Canis lupus familiaris: one gene and its partners. The protein of the gene in region 3 purifies or fractionates together with the protein of the main gene of each other region. This does not show direct contact. Links are inferred from orthologs where the notes say so. Each region holds a gene or a part of one and is shown on either strand. Other genes may lie near its edges. The genes, in order: FTSJ3, EBNA1BP2, SRPK3, CCDC86 and SON.

What was found.
Region 1: the proteins of SRPK3 (region 3) and FTSJ3 purify together in Homo sapiens (affinity purification with mass spectrometry; 3 studies listed by BioGRID and IntAct, with this or other methods). This does not show direct contact. The link is inferred for Canis lupus familiaris from reciprocal best matches to the Homo sapiens genes SRPK3 and FTSJ3.
Region 2: the proteins of SRPK3 (region 3) and EBNA1BP2 purify together in Homo sapiens (affinity purification with mass spectrometry; 3 studies listed by BioGRID and IntAct, with this or other methods). This does not show direct contact. The link is inferred for Canis lupus familiaris from reciprocal best matches to the Homo sapiens genes SRPK3 and EBNA1BP2.
Region 4: the proteins of SRPK3 (region 3) and CCDC86 purify together in Homo sapiens (affinity purification with mass spectrometry; 3 studies listed by BioGRID and IntAct, with this or other methods). This does not show direct contact. The link is inferred for Canis lupus familiaris from reciprocal best matches to the Homo sapiens genes SRPK3 and CCDC86.
Region 5: the proteins of SRPK3 (region 3) and SON purify together in Homo sapiens (affinity purification with mass spectrometry; 3 studies listed by BioGRID and IntAct, with this or other methods). This does not show direct contact. The link is inferred for Canis lupus familiaris from reciprocal best matches to the Homo sapiens genes SRPK3 and SON.

Annotation. Positions count from the first base shown.
Region 1 is NC_049230.1:15,142,551-15,146,774, forward strand, and holds the start of FTSJ3 (pre-rRNA 2'-O-ribose RNA methyltransferase FTSJ3), read left to right. Parts: upstream 1-1,246; 5' UTR 1,247-1,384; coding exon 1,385-1,451; intron 1,452-1,621; coding exon 1,622-1,727; intron 1,728-1,983; coding exon 1,984-2,030; intron 2,031-2,155; coding exon 2,156-2,235; intron 2,236-2,684; coding exon 2,685-2,784; intron 2,785-2,877; coding exon 2,878-3,072; intron 3,073-3,143; coding exon 3,144-3,259; intron 3,260-3,376; coding exon 3,377-3,481; intron 3,482-3,568; coding exon 3,569-3,669; intron 3,670-3,893; coding exon 3,894-3,974; intron 3,975-4,057; coding exon 4,058-4,207; intron 4,208-4,224. Other genes in the region: PSMC5 (26S proteasome regulatory subunit 8), read right to left, coding at 322-393, 843-866.
Region 2 is NC_049236.1:17,083,235-17,086,368, forward strand, and holds part of EBNA1BP2 (probable rRNA-processing protein EBP2), read left to right. Parts: coding exon 1-83; intron 84-1,738; coding exon 1,739-1,814; intron 1,815-2,288; coding exon 2,289-2,382; intron 2,383-3,134. UniProt on the Homo sapiens protein: Required for the processing of the 27S pre-rRNA.
Region 3 is NC_049260.1:122,785,703-122,787,929, forward strand, and holds the end of SRPK3 (SRSF protein kinase 3), read left to right. Parts: coding exon 1-8; intron 9-117; coding exon 118-218; intron 219-577; coding exon 578-685; intron 686-753; coding exon 754-996; intron 997-1,133; coding exon 1,134-1,250; coding exon of another isoform or gene 1,251-1,318; 3' UTR 1,319-1,571; downstream 1,572-2,227. Other genes in the region: IDH3G (isocitrate dehydrogenase [NAD] subunit gamma, mitochondrial), read right to left, coding at 1,705-1,806, 2,092-2,152. UniProt on the Homo sapiens protein: Serine/arginine-rich protein-specific kinase which specifically phosphorylates its substrates at serine residues located in regions rich in arginine/serine dipeptides, known as RS domains.
Region 4 is NC_049239.1:56,039,473-56,042,972, reverse strand, and holds the end of CCDC86 (coiled-coil domain-containing protein 86), read left to right. Parts: intron 1-79; coding exon 80-209; intron 210-1,693; coding exon 1,694-1,768; intron 1,769-1,961; coding exon 1,962-2,081; 3' UTR 2,082-2,811; downstream 2,812-3,500.
Region 5 is NC_049252.1:28,754,294-28,757,992, reverse strand, and holds part of SON (protein SON), read right to left. Parts: intron 3,426-3,699; coding exon 3,259-3,425; intron 762-3,258; coding exon 1-761. UniProt on the Homo sapiens protein: RNA-binding protein that acts as a mRNA splicing cofactor by promoting efficient splicing of transcripts that possess weak splice sites.

The DNA of each region.
Region 1 (4,224 bases), on a different chromosome or scaffold from region 3:
GTCCCAGCCCGTGTGCTACGTCTCATCCCAGCTTCCGCGTTACCTTTTATAAGAAACCCTCAATTCAAACTTCTAAAAGGAATAGTACTTGGCAAAGAGTACCTCTTACGTCAAAATCTGACAGCCAACGATGTGTAATAAACCGTGTATACTGATTACCTTCAAAGGGTGAGAAGTGAGAGAAACAAGAAACTTAACTTCATATACTCCTATCCTTGACCAGTTACTTCTTCCACTGCGCCCCCACCGGACTACGTGGGTTTATATAAACATACTCCAGTCCCTCATCCCCTCCTAGCTGCCTCTGTAGTCCATCCTCACCTGGAGTTCTTCGATCTTGGACAGATAATATTGGCGGAGTCCACTGCCTGCCTTCCCCTCTTCCAGCTCCATCTGAAGACACAGGGTAATTATTAGCCCCCCAACCCCCAAAATGCAAGGGAAAAAAGCCTGGACTTTGGAGGAATGGGATTTGGGTTGAATTCCTCAGTCATCTCTTTAGAACCCTCCACTTCCCCGCGACTAACTCAAAGCAGAAGGAGAATGCCGCCTACCTCGTAAGACTTTCAGGAGGATCAAGGGACAACATGCACGAGAGCGCTTTGTACCGAGCCATCTTCCCCTCATTCGCTCCGCTTCCCCCGGGTCTTTCTCTCCCGGCCCTGCTCTGACCCGCCGCGGGCGGCGCTGACACAGCAGATCCGGTCCCGCGCAGGGCCCAGTCTGGATTGGTCCACCCACCCAACCCACCCGACCCCCTTGCCTCGGCCGTCTGCCCACCTCGGATCGCGCCTGCTTCGCATCGAGGCCCCGTCCCCACCCGGCCACCGCAGCCGCCGTACCTGCTCCGGCCCGTCAAGCGCCATCTTCTCTCACCCACGGCGGCCGCCGGCATCCGAGCCACCTTGGCGCGCAGGCGCAAAAATAGGGGCTTGGGGCCCGGCGACCCTGACAGAGAAGAATTCCGGGTCAATGGGCGGGGTGTGCGTCGCGACGACTACAAAAACAGAGGCCATGATGAGAAGGTGGCTACGCGAGGTCAGGAGCTTGGAAAGGGATGAGGAGGCCACGGAACTCCTAAATGTTGCTCTCTAGGAACTCAGTTTTAGATCAGGTAATCCGCTCACCTGGTCCCAACTTCCAACTTGCAATACTTAAGGACATAAAGAAAACTTTTCGGCCACGCTCAAAATGGCGGAAACTTGGAGCCGGAGACGCAAGCGACGCAAGCGGAAACGGAAGTACGTGTGCTGCCCCCCACGTGCCTCTCTCAGAGTGGTGAAAAAGGCAGAGATTCCCCGTGCTTGCAGAGACAAGTGGGGGACGGAAAGCGGCGTTTCAATTTTTCTGTCCCCAGGTTAAGTGACAGTCCTCCCGTTCCACTATGGGCAAGAAGGGCAAAGTCGGGAAGAGCCGGCGGGACAAGTTCTATCACTTGGCGAAGGAGACCGGTGAGTCAGGGTCCGCGCTGTCTGCGAGCTAAGGAGGGACGTTTTCGATTCTCTCCCACCTTTCCGAATACTGAGTTTCCGTTCTGTAGACGGGGTGGTGGGTTGTGAAGTCGCAGAAATCTCCCTGGGAAAGCCCCCCGCCGAGTTTAACATTTTGTCGGTGCCCCCAGGTTACCGCTCCCGCTCTGCTTTCAAGCTGATCCAGTTGAATCGCCGTTTTCAGTTCCTGCAGAAAGCACGAGCCTTGCTGGACCTGTGTGCTGCGCCCGGGGGATGGTGGGTACACCCGGCACCTGCGGCTCTTTGTGGCTGCGTTGAGGGTCCCGGCCGTGGAGGACTTGGAGTGGCACTGGGGGGCGGGAGGGATACGGCAATACCAGTCTCATGCTTTTCCTAGACGTAGGTCGGGGCACTGCACTTGGTAGCGCCTCTTAAGGCACGCGGTGAGAGAGCCTATTGCCAAGGGAGGGGGAGGAACGGTCTTGAGTTATTGTAGTCTTGAGTTATTTTAGTCGGCATTACTCTTTTCTAGGCTGCAGGTGGCTGCTAAGTTTATGCCTGTATCCAGCCTTATTGTGGGTGAGTAACGGATGGGCCCCCTGAGTGGTAAAGGGGTGGGAGAATGAGATACTAATTGTGTTCTGCATTTCCTTTCTCCTTGCTTAGGGCATCCCTTTGTAACTTTCTGACCTGATTTATTGCAGGAGTGGACCTGGTTCCAATCAAGCCTCTTCCCAATGTGGTGACACTCCAGGAGGACATCACAACAGAACGCTGTAGGCAGGTAACAGGAATCGCTCTTTTTCTGCGTCCTTTCTTTGGAGACACCCAAGTTTGTCTGTCTCGCCATCCCAAGTTCTCTAAAGGCAAGCCTTTTCTGTTTAACACATCTTAAGCAGTGCCTGTAGGATCTATATGACAAGGCTTATGATACAGCTTAGTCTTCAGTCCAGGCTTTTTTAAGTCAGGGGTGAGGTGTTTGGAAGAAGAGCAGCGATGTTGTTGAAATCTTTTCTTTGGGCTTGCAAGTAGACTGTAAGCTCTGTGAAGATAAATGCAATTTTGTTGTTGTTGCTTAATCATTATGTACCTGGCACAGGATTTGGCCAAATGCAGGCTATTCAGTAAATGATTGGGTGGACAAATGGCTGAATGAGGAATTGCATTCATAGCCATTTTTGTATTTCTGTTGGTATAATTGTTTTGTTTTGTTTTGTTTTGTTTTGTCTGAAGGCCCTGAGAAAGGAACTGAAGACCTGGAAAGTTGATGTTGTGCTCAACGATGGGGCCCCCAATGTTGGGGCTAGCTGGGTCCATGATGCTTACTCACAAGGTGCTGGGAGTAGGGGGACATGGAGATGAGGGTGGAGGTAGGCATGCTCTCTCAGGCTGCAGAGGTCCTCAGCTAATTGTTTCTCTCCCACAGCCCATTTGACACTGATGGCTCTACGTTTGGCTTGTGATTTTCTGGCCCGTGGTGGCTGCTTCATCACAAAGGTTTTTCGTTCCCGTGACTATCAGCCCCTACTGTGGATCTTCCAGCAGCTCTTTCACCGTGTCCAGGCCACTAAGCCCCAAGCCTCTCGCCATGAATCTGCGGAGATCTTTGTAGTTTGCCAGGGTGGGCATCATTTTTTTGTTTCTTAGCAGCTTTTACCAAAGTACGCTTTCTTACATATCCTATCGCTTTAGGATTCCTGGCTCCTGACAAGGTTGACAGTAAGTTCTTTGATCCCAAATTTGCCTTCAAGGAGATTGAAGTTCAGGCCAAGACTGTTACTGAATTGGTGACTAAGAAAAAGCCAAAGGTGGGTTTGGGGAATGGGGCCACTCTCCAGTCCTGGAGTCTGGGGGAAGTTGGGTCTGGTGGGTCCTATAGACATTTTAGAAGGGAATTTTCAACCTTCATTCTTTTTCTCTGTAAGGCTGAAGGCTATGCTGAGGGTGATCTCACGCTCTATCACCGTGCTTCAGTCACTGACTTCCTCCGAGCTGCCAACCCCGTTGATTTCCTCTCCAAAGCCAGCGAAGTGAGTCGTCAGATCTGAGGGGTATAGGGAAGCGCCAGAAACATGTCCATAAAAATTTCCCTGACTTGTTTCCTTCCTCCCAAACAGATCTCCCTGGATGATGAAGAGTTGGCACAGCATCCAGCTACCACTGAGGATATCTGGGCATGCTGTCAGGATATCAAAGTGCTAGGGCGCAAGGAGCTTAGGTATGCAGTTGGGATGGGCACAGAGCTAGGAGCCCCGAGGGCAGGGAAAGGCCTTTGAAGATGCAGCAGCTTTTTTTTTCTTGAGGGGACAATTTGAGGAATTCATATAGTGTTGGATCTTGGGACACACATGCTACTGTGCTAGAGATTTGAGGTGGGGGCCTAAAAAGGGGACAAGGACAAAGAAGGAAATGGTAAGATTAGTCATTATATTTCTGGGACAGGTCCCTACTGAACTGGAGAACAAAGCTCCGGCGATATGTGGCCAAGAAGCTGAAAGAGCAAGCAAAGGCACTGGACATCAGGTAAGGAAGGAATGGAACTAGGGTAGGTGGGGGCTGGGGGATTGTGTGAGGAAATAACCAAGGTGCTTGTACTGTTTTGTCAGCCTCAGTTCAGGAGAGGAAGAGGAGGAGGAGGAGGGTGAAGAGTCTGAGGCCGGGACTGGGAGGCAGCCCTCTAAAGAGGAGGAGGAGGAAGAACAATTAAACCGGACCCTGGCAGAGATGAAGGCCCAGGAGGTAGCAGAATTAAAGAGGTGAGAGGAGTGGGGAG
Region 2 (3,134 bases), on a different chromosome or scaffold from region 3:
AGAAGCTGCAGGCTAAACAGGCAGCCATGGAGAAGTCTGAAAAGGCGAAGCAACTGCGAGCACTTAGGAAATATGGGAAGAAGGTGAGAAGGAAAGTGTGTGGTGGGCATAGGATGTTGCTGAGTGTTTGTCAGCCCGGGGTGCCGGGGTCCGATCTGGTTCTGTGCCCTGTGTCTGTTCCATCTTGTGTTGATTATTGCACTGCAGAGGGGGGATGTGTGCTTGGATTCGTAAACACCATCTTTCCTTGACACTGGAGTCTTGAGGGGGCAGGGCTGGGTGGGAGGAGGTAGCCTGGTAACTGCAGGTGTGTCATTCATTTGCACATCTGTACAGTGAAGAGTTGGGTTCAAATCAGTGGGGCCAAACCCCACTCTACAGCAAAACCACCTGGGAAAATTTTTCAAAACAGATTTCTAGGCTTCAGGGTGTCAGGGAATCTGCAGGTATTGTCTTCTCTTCCCCGCAAAACTTTTTACATGATTCTGAAATGCATCCTGCTTTGGAGAATCGCTGGCCTAGATGTTTGTTAAGTCTTTGAAGGAACCATATCATTGATTGTCATCCAAGTGAGAGGACAAATGGCACCTGTGTGCTTGAACTGCTGTGGATGTCTGAGTTCTAATTTAAAATCTAGGGAAAGTGTCCTTGGTTTTTCCTCTTTATTTCATGGTTCTTTGGGAAAGACGATGACAGGAATTAAAGTCAGGGTAGTGGGAAGAAGTGAGTGTAAGGAGGATCAACATGAGTGTTCAGACTTTGTCAGCATTTTTGGACATAAACATTCATGATCTGGGGTGCTGTGCTGCTGTCCACATTTGGAGTCATTTCACTGACAAGTCCTCAGCAGAGTAAGAGTAGATTAGCATCCTGTTCTCTGCAGAAGGGCAGCTCTGCATTTATTGGATTGATCTGGTAGTTGATGGTTGAGGTCAACTCAAGGGCCTAAGTGGTTGGTAGTAACGGAACCTAATTGATCAAAGGCGAAGAAAAACTTCCTTTGGGCCTGTTAGCTCACTGCTTCTAATTTGAGGAAACATCATGTCAGTGGTTCTCAGTTGGGGATAATTTTGCTTAGCAGGGAATATTCAGCAATGCCTGGAGATATTTTTGGTGTCACATCTCAATGGGGACTGAGCTACTCAGATCTAGTGGATAGAGGGCAGGGAGGCTGCAAAATGTCCTACAGTGCCCAGGACAGGCCATCCACCCCTCCATAAAGAGTGATCCTGTCCAAGCTATCAATAGTATTGAGATTGAAAACGCTGCCTTCGAATGGAAGCATCTGTTTTTATCCTTACAACTGTTTTGCTTTTCGTTTTTTGGGGGGATTGTTTCTGTTGATACTTTCATGCCTACTAACAGTAGGGGCTAGATACAGAACCTGAGAATTGATTGTAGATCTAGATGTGACTTGCTATGGTTTTGTAGGCAGAATTGTGTAATCAGGTAAGAGTGTAGACCCCTGGGTGTGAATTCAGCTGTACACTTTCTTGCTGTGTGACTCAGGCAAGTTACTTAGGCTCTCTGTGCTTCAATTTCAGGGAGTGTTAGGAATTTCTGCTTCATGGGGTAGCTGAGAAGATAAACTAAGAATACACTTAGAGCTTTACCATAGTTCTGGCACACAGTAAATGTTAAGTGGCCGCGGTGTTAGCATAGTGTTACCAAGCGGATGTAGACACTTGCAATGATGGTGGTCTGGAGTGGGTGTGACAGCCCTATGTTCATGTCCCAGGTGCAAACAGAGGTTCTTCAGAAGAGGCAGCGAGAGAAAACACATATGATGAATGCCATTAAGAAATATCAGAAAGGTCAGTATATCTCCCTTCTAAGGATATAGGGGAGCAGGGGCCGCTGCTATTTTAACATATCCTGCTTCTAGAGCCTTGATTGATTTGGAACCATTGGACCTAAGGTTTGGGAACAGTGTGGGGAGCAGAATATGCCTCTTAAAATTAATTTAGCGGGATCCCTGGGTGGCGCAGCGGTTTGGCGCCTGCCTTTGGCCCAGGGCGCGATCCTGGAGACCCAGGATCGAATCCCACGTCGGGCTCCCGGTGCATGGAGCCTGCTTCTCCCTCTGCCTGTGTCTCTGCCTCTCTCTCTCTCTGTGTGACTATCATAAAAAAAAAAAAAAAAAAAAAAAAAAATTAAAAAAAAAATTTAAATTAATTTAGCAAGTAACCACCTTTTTTTTTTTTTTTTTTTAAGTAACAACCTTCTTTTGAAGCTTCAGTTTTTCTTAAAATGTGTTAATGCTGATCAAAGTACCTTTTCACCCCCAGGCTTTTCTGATAAACTGGATTTTCTTGAGGGGGATCAGAAACCCGTTGCACGGAAAACAAAGGAAGGAGCAAAAAGCCAGCAGATGAAGAAGGGGTATGAAGGATTCTGGTTTGGTTTTGTGGTGGGTACTGGGCAGGCAGTCCAGGGGCAAGTTGGGGAGACCATAGGAGTGGCCTCAGGGTTGAGAGAGCGCAGTGCTACCTGCAGCCAAGGCTAAAGGCCTATGTGATGGATCCTTTTAGCCATATCAGTCTTAGAAGATTAAAGTAGGGTGATCTAGGGAGCGCCTGGCTAGCACAGTCAGTAGAGCATTTGACTCTTGATCTTGGGGCTGTGAGTTCAAGCCCCACGTTGGACGTAGAGCTTACTTAAAAAAAAAAACAAAAAACTAAAGTAGGGTGATTTAAGCATCTGGCACATTTTAAGTGAATATTTAGTAGAAGTAGATTCCTCATCTCACAGCACAATGGTTAAGTGTATAGACCTAGGGTTAGGGTCTAAAGTCCACCATTTTGGGTAGTTTTGAGCAAGTTTCTTGCCTTTTTTTTTTTTTTTTTTTTTTTTGAGTTCAATTTGCCAACATATAGCATAACACCCAGTGCTCATCCCATCAAGTGCCCTCAGTGCCGGTCACCCAGTCACCCCCACCCCCTGCCCACCTCCCTTTCCACCACCCCTTGTTCGTTTCCCAGAGTTAGGAGTCTCTCATATTCTGTCTCCCTTTCTGATATTTCCCACTCATTTTCTCTCCTTTCCCCTTTATTCCCTTTCACTATTTTTTATATTCTCCAAGTGAATGAGACCATATAATGTTTGTCCTTCTCCAATTGACTTATTTCACTCAG
Region 3 (2,227 bases):
ACCCAGCAGTAAGTTGGGCAGGGCCTGTGGGTAGACTTGGTGGGTGGCCGGCGGGCAGGGCTGCCTGCCCCCACCCCAGGCCAGCTCAGTCTCTCCCCACTTCTCTTCCTTCTCCAGCACCGTTTGGTGCCTCAAACCTCCTGGTGAACCCCCTAGAGCCCCAAAACGCAGACAAGATCAAGATCAAGATCGCAGACCTGGGCAACGCCTGCTGGGTGGTATGAGCTGGCCTGGAGAGCAGAGCTGGGCACCCTGCTGAGGGCAGGGGCGCAGGCCCGCTCCCAAGGAGCCCGTTGGGGCCCACAGTGCCACTCGACCAGACCCCAGGGTCTGCCTCATGACTCAGACCCAGGACTGGGCCCAAACCAGCATCTGTCCCATCCAGTCAGCGGAACTGGACCCACTGCAAGGGGCGGGGAGGCCAGTCCCTCTCGGGACCTCTGGGGACCCTGAGGCTGAGCGAACCCCACTGGGCTCCTTGGGTTCATGGGCCCAGAGGCGGTGGGAGATGGTGGGGGCCAGTGGGGGCAGGCCGGCTGTGGCCCCGGCTGCTCCCCAGGGCTCCCCTTGCCTCCAGCACAAGCACTTCACCGAGGACATCCAGACTCGCCAGTACCGGGCTGTGGAAGTGCTGATCGGAGCGGAATACGGGCCCCCCGCCGACATCTGGAGCACGGCGTGCATGGTATGCCTCAGCTGGGGCTGCCCAGGGCCAGCCCACCGGCTGGCAGCCTCACCTTCTCCCCCTTCCAGGCCTTCGAGCTGGCCACCGGCGACTACCTATTCGAGCCTCACTCTGGAGAAGACTACAGTCGTGACGAGGGTAGGGGGAGGCCGGCCCTGGGCTCAGCCTCGGGGCCTCCCAGCCGCCCGGCTGCCCCCCAGCCTCCTCTCTGTCTACAGACCACATCGCCCACATTGTGGAGCTTCTGGGAGACATCCCCCCAGCCTTTGCCCTCTCAGGCCGCTACTCCCGGGAGTTCTTCAACCGGAGAGGTAGGACTGAGCAGGCTCCGTTCTCCTGGATGTCCAGGGTAGGGCAGGGCCCACAGGCTCCCAAGCAGGGGGAGTGCCGGGTCCCGGGGCCCTCCCGGCAGAGCCTCACCCAAGGCCACTGCCCCCCCACCCCCCAGGAGAGCTGCGGCACATCCACAACCTCAAGCACTGGGGCCTGTACGAGGTGCTCATGGAGAAGTACGAGTGGCCCCTGGAGCAGGCCACGCAGTTCAGCGCCTTCCTGCTGCCCATGATGGAATACATCCCCGAAAAGCGGGCCAGCGCCGCCGACTGCCTCCAGCACCCCTGGCTCAACCCCTAGGCCTCGACGGGCACTTTGTGCAGCTTGAGGCGGGCCTTGATCACCCTCATGCCCCTCCCAGTGCCTTCAGGGAAGGCGGGATGCCTCCTGCCACCCTCCTGGGTGCCAGCTTTCTCATAGCCCGTGGCAGGGCAGGAAGATGCTGGAGCCTGGCCCACCGTTTAGAATTCGTTCTGCCCCCAACCCTCACAAAGGGCCCTGAGTGGGAAGTGTGCGTATTTCTTTTCTTAATAAAGTGTGAGCTGAAACGTCAGCATCCTGGAGTGACAGGAGCGCGGCGGCCGAGAGAGGGGACAGAGGGTGGTTTATTCTCGGTCTGCCCACCCACCTGGCTGCAGTGCCGGCAGTGGGAAGGGGTAGCGGGTGGAGGCAGTCCCAGGGACCGCCTAGGCTTCCACGGCCCGGCCGTTGATGATGCGGATGTGGCGGATGATGTCCTGGATGGCTTCCGACGTAGTGCCTTGGCCTCCTATGTCGGGGGTGTGCATCTGCGGGAGACAGACAGGCTCGGGCACACACACCCGGGACCTGCCAACACCTGACCCCCACCCTGTAGGCAGCCCGAGGGCAGCCCACTATCTCCCATGGCTTGGAGGGGCAGCGGGACCAGCTCAGGTCCAGAAAGCCCTACCCTGCCTGGTTCCGCCCTCCCCTTGGGGGCAGTGGGAGGTGCCAGGTCACCACTTCCTGCCCCTCAGATGGCACACCAGCTCCAGCCCTCCTGGGGGAAGGGGCTGGGGGGAAGGCAGGGGAGGGGAGAAGCGGAGCCTCACATTTTCGTTGTCCATGGATGCCAACACGGCCTTACGGATGGAAGTGGCGTAGGAATGCAGCCTAAGGAGGGAGAGCAGCTTTCAAACCCTTGGGGCCGGGGGCTGCCAGGGGGGCTGCCAGTGGGGCATCGAGAAG
Region 4 (3,500 bases), on a different chromosome or scaffold from region 3:
GAGCCTGGAGCTGAGAGAAGAAGAGGCATGGGGGCCTCCCATGGATGACCTGAGCACTCATCCCTGGTCTCCCATCCAGGTTCTCCCAGATGGTACAGAGCAAGCCCCTGCGTACATCCTGGCAGCAGAAGATGAAGGAACGGCAGGAGAGGAAGCTGGCCAAGGACCTCGCCCGGCATTTAGAGGAGGAGAAGGAGAAACGCCAGCAGGTGAGGGGCCGGCCAACCAGGCTGAGGCTGGAGCTCAGGGAGCTGAGCCGGTGACTGCTGTAATAGGCCTTGGAGGGGGCACCTAACTGCCACAGGGAGGCAGGGAGCCTGGCCAGAAGCAGAAGTCCAGTATGGCCTGCAGGGTGGGAAAGCCCAGTGGAAGGTCCAGTTTGGCCCAGGGCTCTGTAAGAGACTCAAGTATGGGGAGGAGCCCAGGACAAAGTCCCCCTGCTCCCCACCCCCATGGTGGCTCTCACTGCTGATAGCAGCATTTGGTGAGATGGGCTTCAGGGTCCGCACCTCCATAGGAGAAAGGCTTATCCCTCGTACTGTGGCCATCATTCTCCAAGAAACAGCTACCACTTATCAGCAAGGTGGGTGCCTGTACTTCCCTCCAGCTTGCTCCCTGACACTCATCCCCAGGCCAGAAATGCCCCTTTAGAGGTTCCCATCGACCCCTTCCAGTCTCCAGGAAGCCCCAGCAGGCAGCACGCCAGGCCTGGGGTTGTCAGGGATGTTACTTGCCTAGTGATCCCAGGGCACGGGAGAAGTCAAACACCTCACCCTGAACCTGGCCACCGAGGGCAGGGGCTAGGCCAGTACGTTCAGTCCTCCATCCCCTGCTTTGAGTCACCCCACCAGTCCAGCCTGTGGCTGAGGCCCTGCAGACTGTGGCTGCTGCTGTGTGCCGACTCCTTATCATACTTCCTGTGTGGCCCTGACTCCCTCTTGGGCAAGACCCGACTTCTTGTCACCGCCCCCCAGGAGCGCCCCCAGCCCAACCCTTCCCCCAACAGGAGCCCATATCTTACTTCTCCTTTCTCCTCCTCTGGGGCCCAGGCCACCTCTGCTCTCCTGACCATGCCGTGGCCTCAGGCCCCACCAGGGACAGCAGGCAGCATAGCCAGGAGGCACCGCACTTCCCATTCCCGAGAAAGACTCCACCTAGATCCATCTTTGAAGTGTCCCCCCTGGGCCGGGTACCTGACGCACAGAGAGGTTCAGCAGCTTGGCCAAGGTCACCCATTTGGAAGTAGCAGAGGCAGGACTTGAGTCAGGGCCAGACAGCTCGGGAGCCTCTTCCCTATGGCCTCCACCCCTCCCAGCCCACACCTGGGCAAACCTTAGGGACCCTGTGAGGGTGGGAAGGAGGAAAGAGACCACTGTGCATGCCCAAGCTTCCAGGTGGGGGGAGCCACTGTGTCTCACTGCCCCCTACCCACCATCCTATCTAGGCTACGTGACCAGGTGCCCAACTTCTTGGCTGCAGTCAGGAACTTCCCACCACAGTGGGCCTCTGGTTCCAGGGGCACAGGCATATCTCCTTGCTGGCCCTCCCCCCACATACCACCAGGAACAATTGAACTAAGGTGAAGGTCTTTCCTCTCCTTGGGAACTCAGCCAGCTCTGACTCTTCTGAGACCTAAGCAACCAGGGCTGTCCCAGCTCCCAGACTCAAATCCTCATCCCCCTGTGTGTTCCAGGAGAAGAAACAGCGCCGGGCTGAGAACCTGAAACGCCGCCTGGAGAATGAGCGGAGGGCAGAGGTTGTCCAAGTGGTGAGTGTTGTCTTGCTCACGGGGATCTGAACCGCAGCCAGGCTGGGCACTGTGTTCGAGATGCCTCGACACCCCTGCCTCGAGACCTCTCCTTGTTCTGTGATCCAGACCCCTGTGGGGCAGCCTCCCTTCCCCCTGGGGCACAGGGCAGAGACTACAACCTACTAATGCCCTCTTCTCACACCACCCCCAGATCCGAAACCCCGCCAAGCTCAAGCGGGCAAAGAAGAAACAGCTTCGCTCCATTCAGAAGAGGGATACGCTGGCGCTGCTGCAGAAACAGCCGTCCCAGCAGCCAGCAGCCAAGATTTGAGCTCAGGACAACCCAGAAGTCTCCTGTGACCAACCGCTATGTCAGACTCGGCACTTGCCGGGCCAGTGGTCACACGCCTCTGTGGGATGTGGTACTCCAACACTAGTGCCACCCTCCTCCACCCCAGAGAGGCTATAGGCCTTTGAGGGCTCTCAAGCCCTAGGAAGCCAGGAGCCTGGCAGAACTAGAGGAGGGAACAGGTTCAGCCCACCCCTGCCTCCTTCCTCTTTCATCAAGTGCCTTACAACCACAAAGAGTCAGTTCTCTGGTTCCTTGGGAGCTGACAGCTGGAGGGTGACTCTTCAAAATGTGTATTTCTGTCTCAAGGTCACAGGTTCGCCCCTGACCAGGAGACTGCAGTCAGGAACCAGTTCCCCTTGCACCATCCCAGAGGCTGCCTTGGGCATCTCTGCAGCCCACTGACCCTGTCACCCAGCTGTTGGAACCCGGTTTCCCCGAGTTTTCAACATGGAAGGGTGAAGGAGGTTGCGGGGAATGACGTTCCCCGCCCCCCCCAGCGCGCTCTCACCTCTCTTGGACTGTGAGAAGGCTACCTGGGCATCTGATTCACTCAGACCATTCAGTCTGTAATAAAAATATTTATTGAACACCCATTGTGTACAGGCACAATTCTAGGTATGGGGAATACAGACAGAGGCCCCTGCCCACAAAGGGGCATTTTTCATTCTGATGGAAAAAAACCTAATAAACAAGGAAATAGTATTGTGTATCAGACTGTGAGAAGTGCTACAAATGAAGCAGGGGAGGGTCGCAGGGAGTGTGGCAAGGTGATAAGATGGGTGTGTGTTCAGTCTGCTGAGCCCCTGCTGCGGAAACCGTAAGCTGGCCGCCCGCCTTCAGGCCCCCAGCCAGGAGTGGCTCAGGCAGCACTGGACCCAGACCCCAAGAACGTCTCTCCCTCCACTCTTCTACTAGCATTTCACCCACCAGTTACTGGCCACAGCTCTGCACCAGGCCCCGGGACAGACCCGAGTGCAGCGCTCTTTGTCCTCTGGTGCGTGGTGGGTAGAGGAAACCTGGCGCAGTGGATGTGCTAACAAGGGAGGCCCAAGGTGGCCGTCACATCCACGCCCTGGAAGGGACAGCCACCCAGCCTCTAAGTGGTTGGGACGCAGGTGTTGGGAACATGAGGATTACCAGCGTTGCCCACGGGGCATCCCATGGAATACCGGCCTGTACATGTCATGTGCTGTGGTCTCGGAGGCTGCTGCGCACACTCAAATACTAAGAACGAGAAGACCTTCAGCAGAGATGCCCGCTGCACTTGGATTAGCCCAGGCTGACCACGGTACCTTCGATACCTTATAAACCCCTTGGGCGGTGCCGGGTCAGAAGGGTAGAGATATGGGGCCCCTTACAGCCAGACCTTCAGTACCTTGGGTATGTCCGGGGGTGGGG
Region 5 (3,699 bases), on a different chromosome or scaffold from region 3:
CCCTTCAGTTGCAGACGACTCTGGAAAATCCATTGTTGTTGATGTGCTTGGCTCAGGATGTACCTCAGTAGGTATCTCAGGCGATACCACAAGGGTTTCCGATGACTCTAGCCCTTTTGCTACTGGAGGTTCTAATATGATCTGTGACTGCTCTGGAGGTATGGTCTCCAAAGATTTCAGCACAGGCTTCATCTGATACTCCATTGACATTGTTACAACTGGCTCAGGTGACTTTAGCACTACTGTTGTAGTAGGCACTGGTGCCGTTGTAAAAGAATCCAGAATCTTTGTCATGGATGGTTCCAGCGTGAGTGCCACAGACTGCTCTGACTGCACTGAAATTACTGATGTTGATGCAACTGACAGTTCTGCAGTTTTTGTAGCTGGCTTCAGAGTTTCTAAGGTGTGTGACTCTGATATCTCCATGGACACCACAGGAGGCTCTAACACAACTGCAGGAGATTCACTGGTCTCAGAAAGGCCAAAAGCTCTTACAGGATGCTCCAGTGCCATCGCTGAAGGTTCAGAATCAAACTTCAAAAAGGAATCTGATTCTAAATCTATGTTCCCATCATGATGTGATTTCACCTTTGACTCAGATTCTTCTGGCTGTCTTTTATACTTTTTTTCCTTTTCTTTCTTCTTTTTCTTCTTTTTATTTTTGTGCTTTTTATGCTTCTTTGACTTTTTGGTGGGAATTTCATCAGTAGGATCTGTTTGTACAGACACACATCTACTTTTTCTGGAGGCCTCCTTCAGGTCTGAAATTAAAGAAAGTTAATTTTAATTTGTCAAACATTCCCCACAGTAAACTTAAACAAGATTTACATTCCACGTTAAAATACCACAGTATTATGCTTCTCATTAAATAAAGTTACCAACTAAAACTTTTTACTATGAACCAATTACCTAAAGACTGAAACTTTCCCAATATTTCTTTCTACAACTAAAGTCTGGGTTAAGGGAAACTTGGGTGGCTCAGCAGTTGAGCGTCTGCCTTTGGCTCAGGGCATGACCCTGGAGTCCTGGGATCAAGTCCCACATCAGGATTCCTGCAGGGAGCCTGCTTCTCTCTCTGCCTCTGTGTGTCTCTCATGAATAAATAAATAAAATCTTTAAAAAATAAAATCTGGGTTAAAAACAAATTCTCAGTTTATCACAAAAACTTGAGTGTCACGCTAAAATGTGTTTACTATGGGACGCCTGAGTGGCTCAGTGGTTGAGCATCTGCCTTTGGCTCAGGGCCTGATCCCGGGATCCAGGATCGAGTCCCACATCAGGCTCCCTGTGAGGAGCTTGCTTCTCCCTCTGCCTATGTCTCTGCCTCTCTCATGAATAAAATCCTTACAAAAACAAAAAAAGCGTTTACCAAACTTATTTACAACTATTTTCTCCACCTTACAAATTATAGCAAGCTACTTTCAAACTACACTTAAGAAAACTTCATATTACCAACTCTTAAAATTCCTGTAAAAATGCACCTGTTAAATAATTTTTAGGACTATTTAATAACCCAAAGCAACACGCCACTGGCTCAGGAACAGACAGTCTGCTTTTAGATCCTATATCAATTAACACTCACTAGGTGAATGGACTTGGCAAAATTATGACACTGTCTCCTAAAGTTACAGGACAAAGGGAGTTAAAACATACAAAGTATGTTGAACAATGCCTGCCATATAATAAGCCTTCAAATACTAGTGATTGCTTTTATATAGCATACAAAGAAAGGACTGAACAACTAATATAAAATGCCAACACAAAACTTGAATTTTATCTCACTAAAATTCCCATGTTACCTTCTAATAAAAACACTTTTTCCTTCAACGCTCTTTTTAAAATTACTAAAATAATCTTAATGCTTCCACTCAAAAAATAAGTCCCTTCAGGAAAGAAATTCACTTTTTTTAAAGATTTATTTATTTATTTATTTATTTATTCAGAGAGAGCGAGAGAGAGGCACAGACACAGGCAGAGGGAGAGGGTGAGGGAGAAGCAAGCTCCATGCAGGGAGCCCGACATGGGACTCGATCCCAGGTCTCCAGGATCACACCCCGGGCTGCAAGCGGCGCTAAACCGCTGTGCCACCGGGGCTGCCCAAGAAAGAAATTCTTATACCCCTTTACATTTAACCTAAAAACACCGCGTATCTGAAGAGAAAACAGTTTTCTTCTTTACAACTAGATTAATTTACTCTAATGCCAATACCAACTTAAATTCTAGTGGTCCCAGAAAAGCTGATCGGGGGCAGCCCCGGTGGCTCAGCGGTTTAGCGCTGCCTACAGCTCAGGGCGTGATCCTGGAGACCCAGGATCGAGTCCCACATCGGGCTCCCTGCATGGAGCCTGCTTCTCCCTCTGCCTGTGTCTCTGCCTCTCTCTCTCCTCTCTGTGTATTCTCATGAATAAATAAAATCTTTAAAAAAAAAAAAGAAAAGAAAAAGAAAAGCTGATCAGAAATCCAGGCCACTAAGACTATGGAAAAAATGAATACAAGACAAGATCCATTTCAAAGAAAAACTACTTTATACTACTTGTTATTTACATATCTAATACCAATTAGCTAAGTTATACTTCAAGAAAAAACTGCTACAGCCATGAAATCTAAGGATAGCAGGAGTCAAAGCTGGGTGGTGGTGGTTGTTTTTTACCATATGCTATATCAAAAATAATGAAAATAAAAAATAAAAACCCATACCACCCCCTCATTTCCAAAACTGAACAAAGCTAGTTATTTCTGTGGTTGATCATAAAGCTTTCGTTTCTAAGCATCAATTATTTAATTAATTCCCAAAATACATTATCAAAGCAAGGATTCCTCTCTACTCATTGCACTTGTAAGAAGGTAGATGCAAAAACAAGGCAATCTCTAAACTTGGGCTTTAGGATAAAACCTCCTAGGGTTTTAAAATCATTACAAATTTGATTCAGGCTCTTATACTTTCCAAAATGGACATTTAAACAATTTTTCCATGAAAACCTGCATTCAAAATCCTGGTAAAGAAGCACTACAAAACTAAATCAAATAAAGTTATATTCCACCAACAAAGCAACCAAGTATCAATGCTCATGTTTAAATATAACTGTATTTTCAGAGACTTTGAATAGTTTTCAGTAAATAAATTCAAACTTACTACAGTTTTAGACCAAGTGAACATTTTTTTTCCAAGTGAACATTTTTAAACAACATAAAGAAATAATATTGTCAACTACTTAAGAATTTTTAAGTTTTTGAGAAAGCTAATTATCTCCAACTTACCTGGCTTATATCGTAGTTCTGTATCTAAGACCCCAGAAAGTACTTCCTCTATCTTCTGAACTATTTCTTCATTTGGGAGGCTCCTGGCAGAGGCAGCTGCATCACCTGCCTGGTTTCCTTCATTAGGTGTATTTGTTTCACCATTGAGCTGGCCTTCACTCCTTCCACTTGACAAGAAAAGTTACCAAAATTCATTAATACTTTTACCACACCATACACTGAATTAGTATTTCTAACGCGATTGAAACAATCTTACACCGTTCACGCATTTCACCATTTTTGTATTTTCTTTCAGGTGATACTCCCCACCAACAGTGCTTCTTTCACCCTATCTACTAGAAGTTAGTACAGTTTCATTTTTACACAATTACTTAATTTTCAGAACCATGGAATTTTAGAAAAAAAAAATCTTTGAAACAGCTTTCTAAGCTTTTTAAAAAA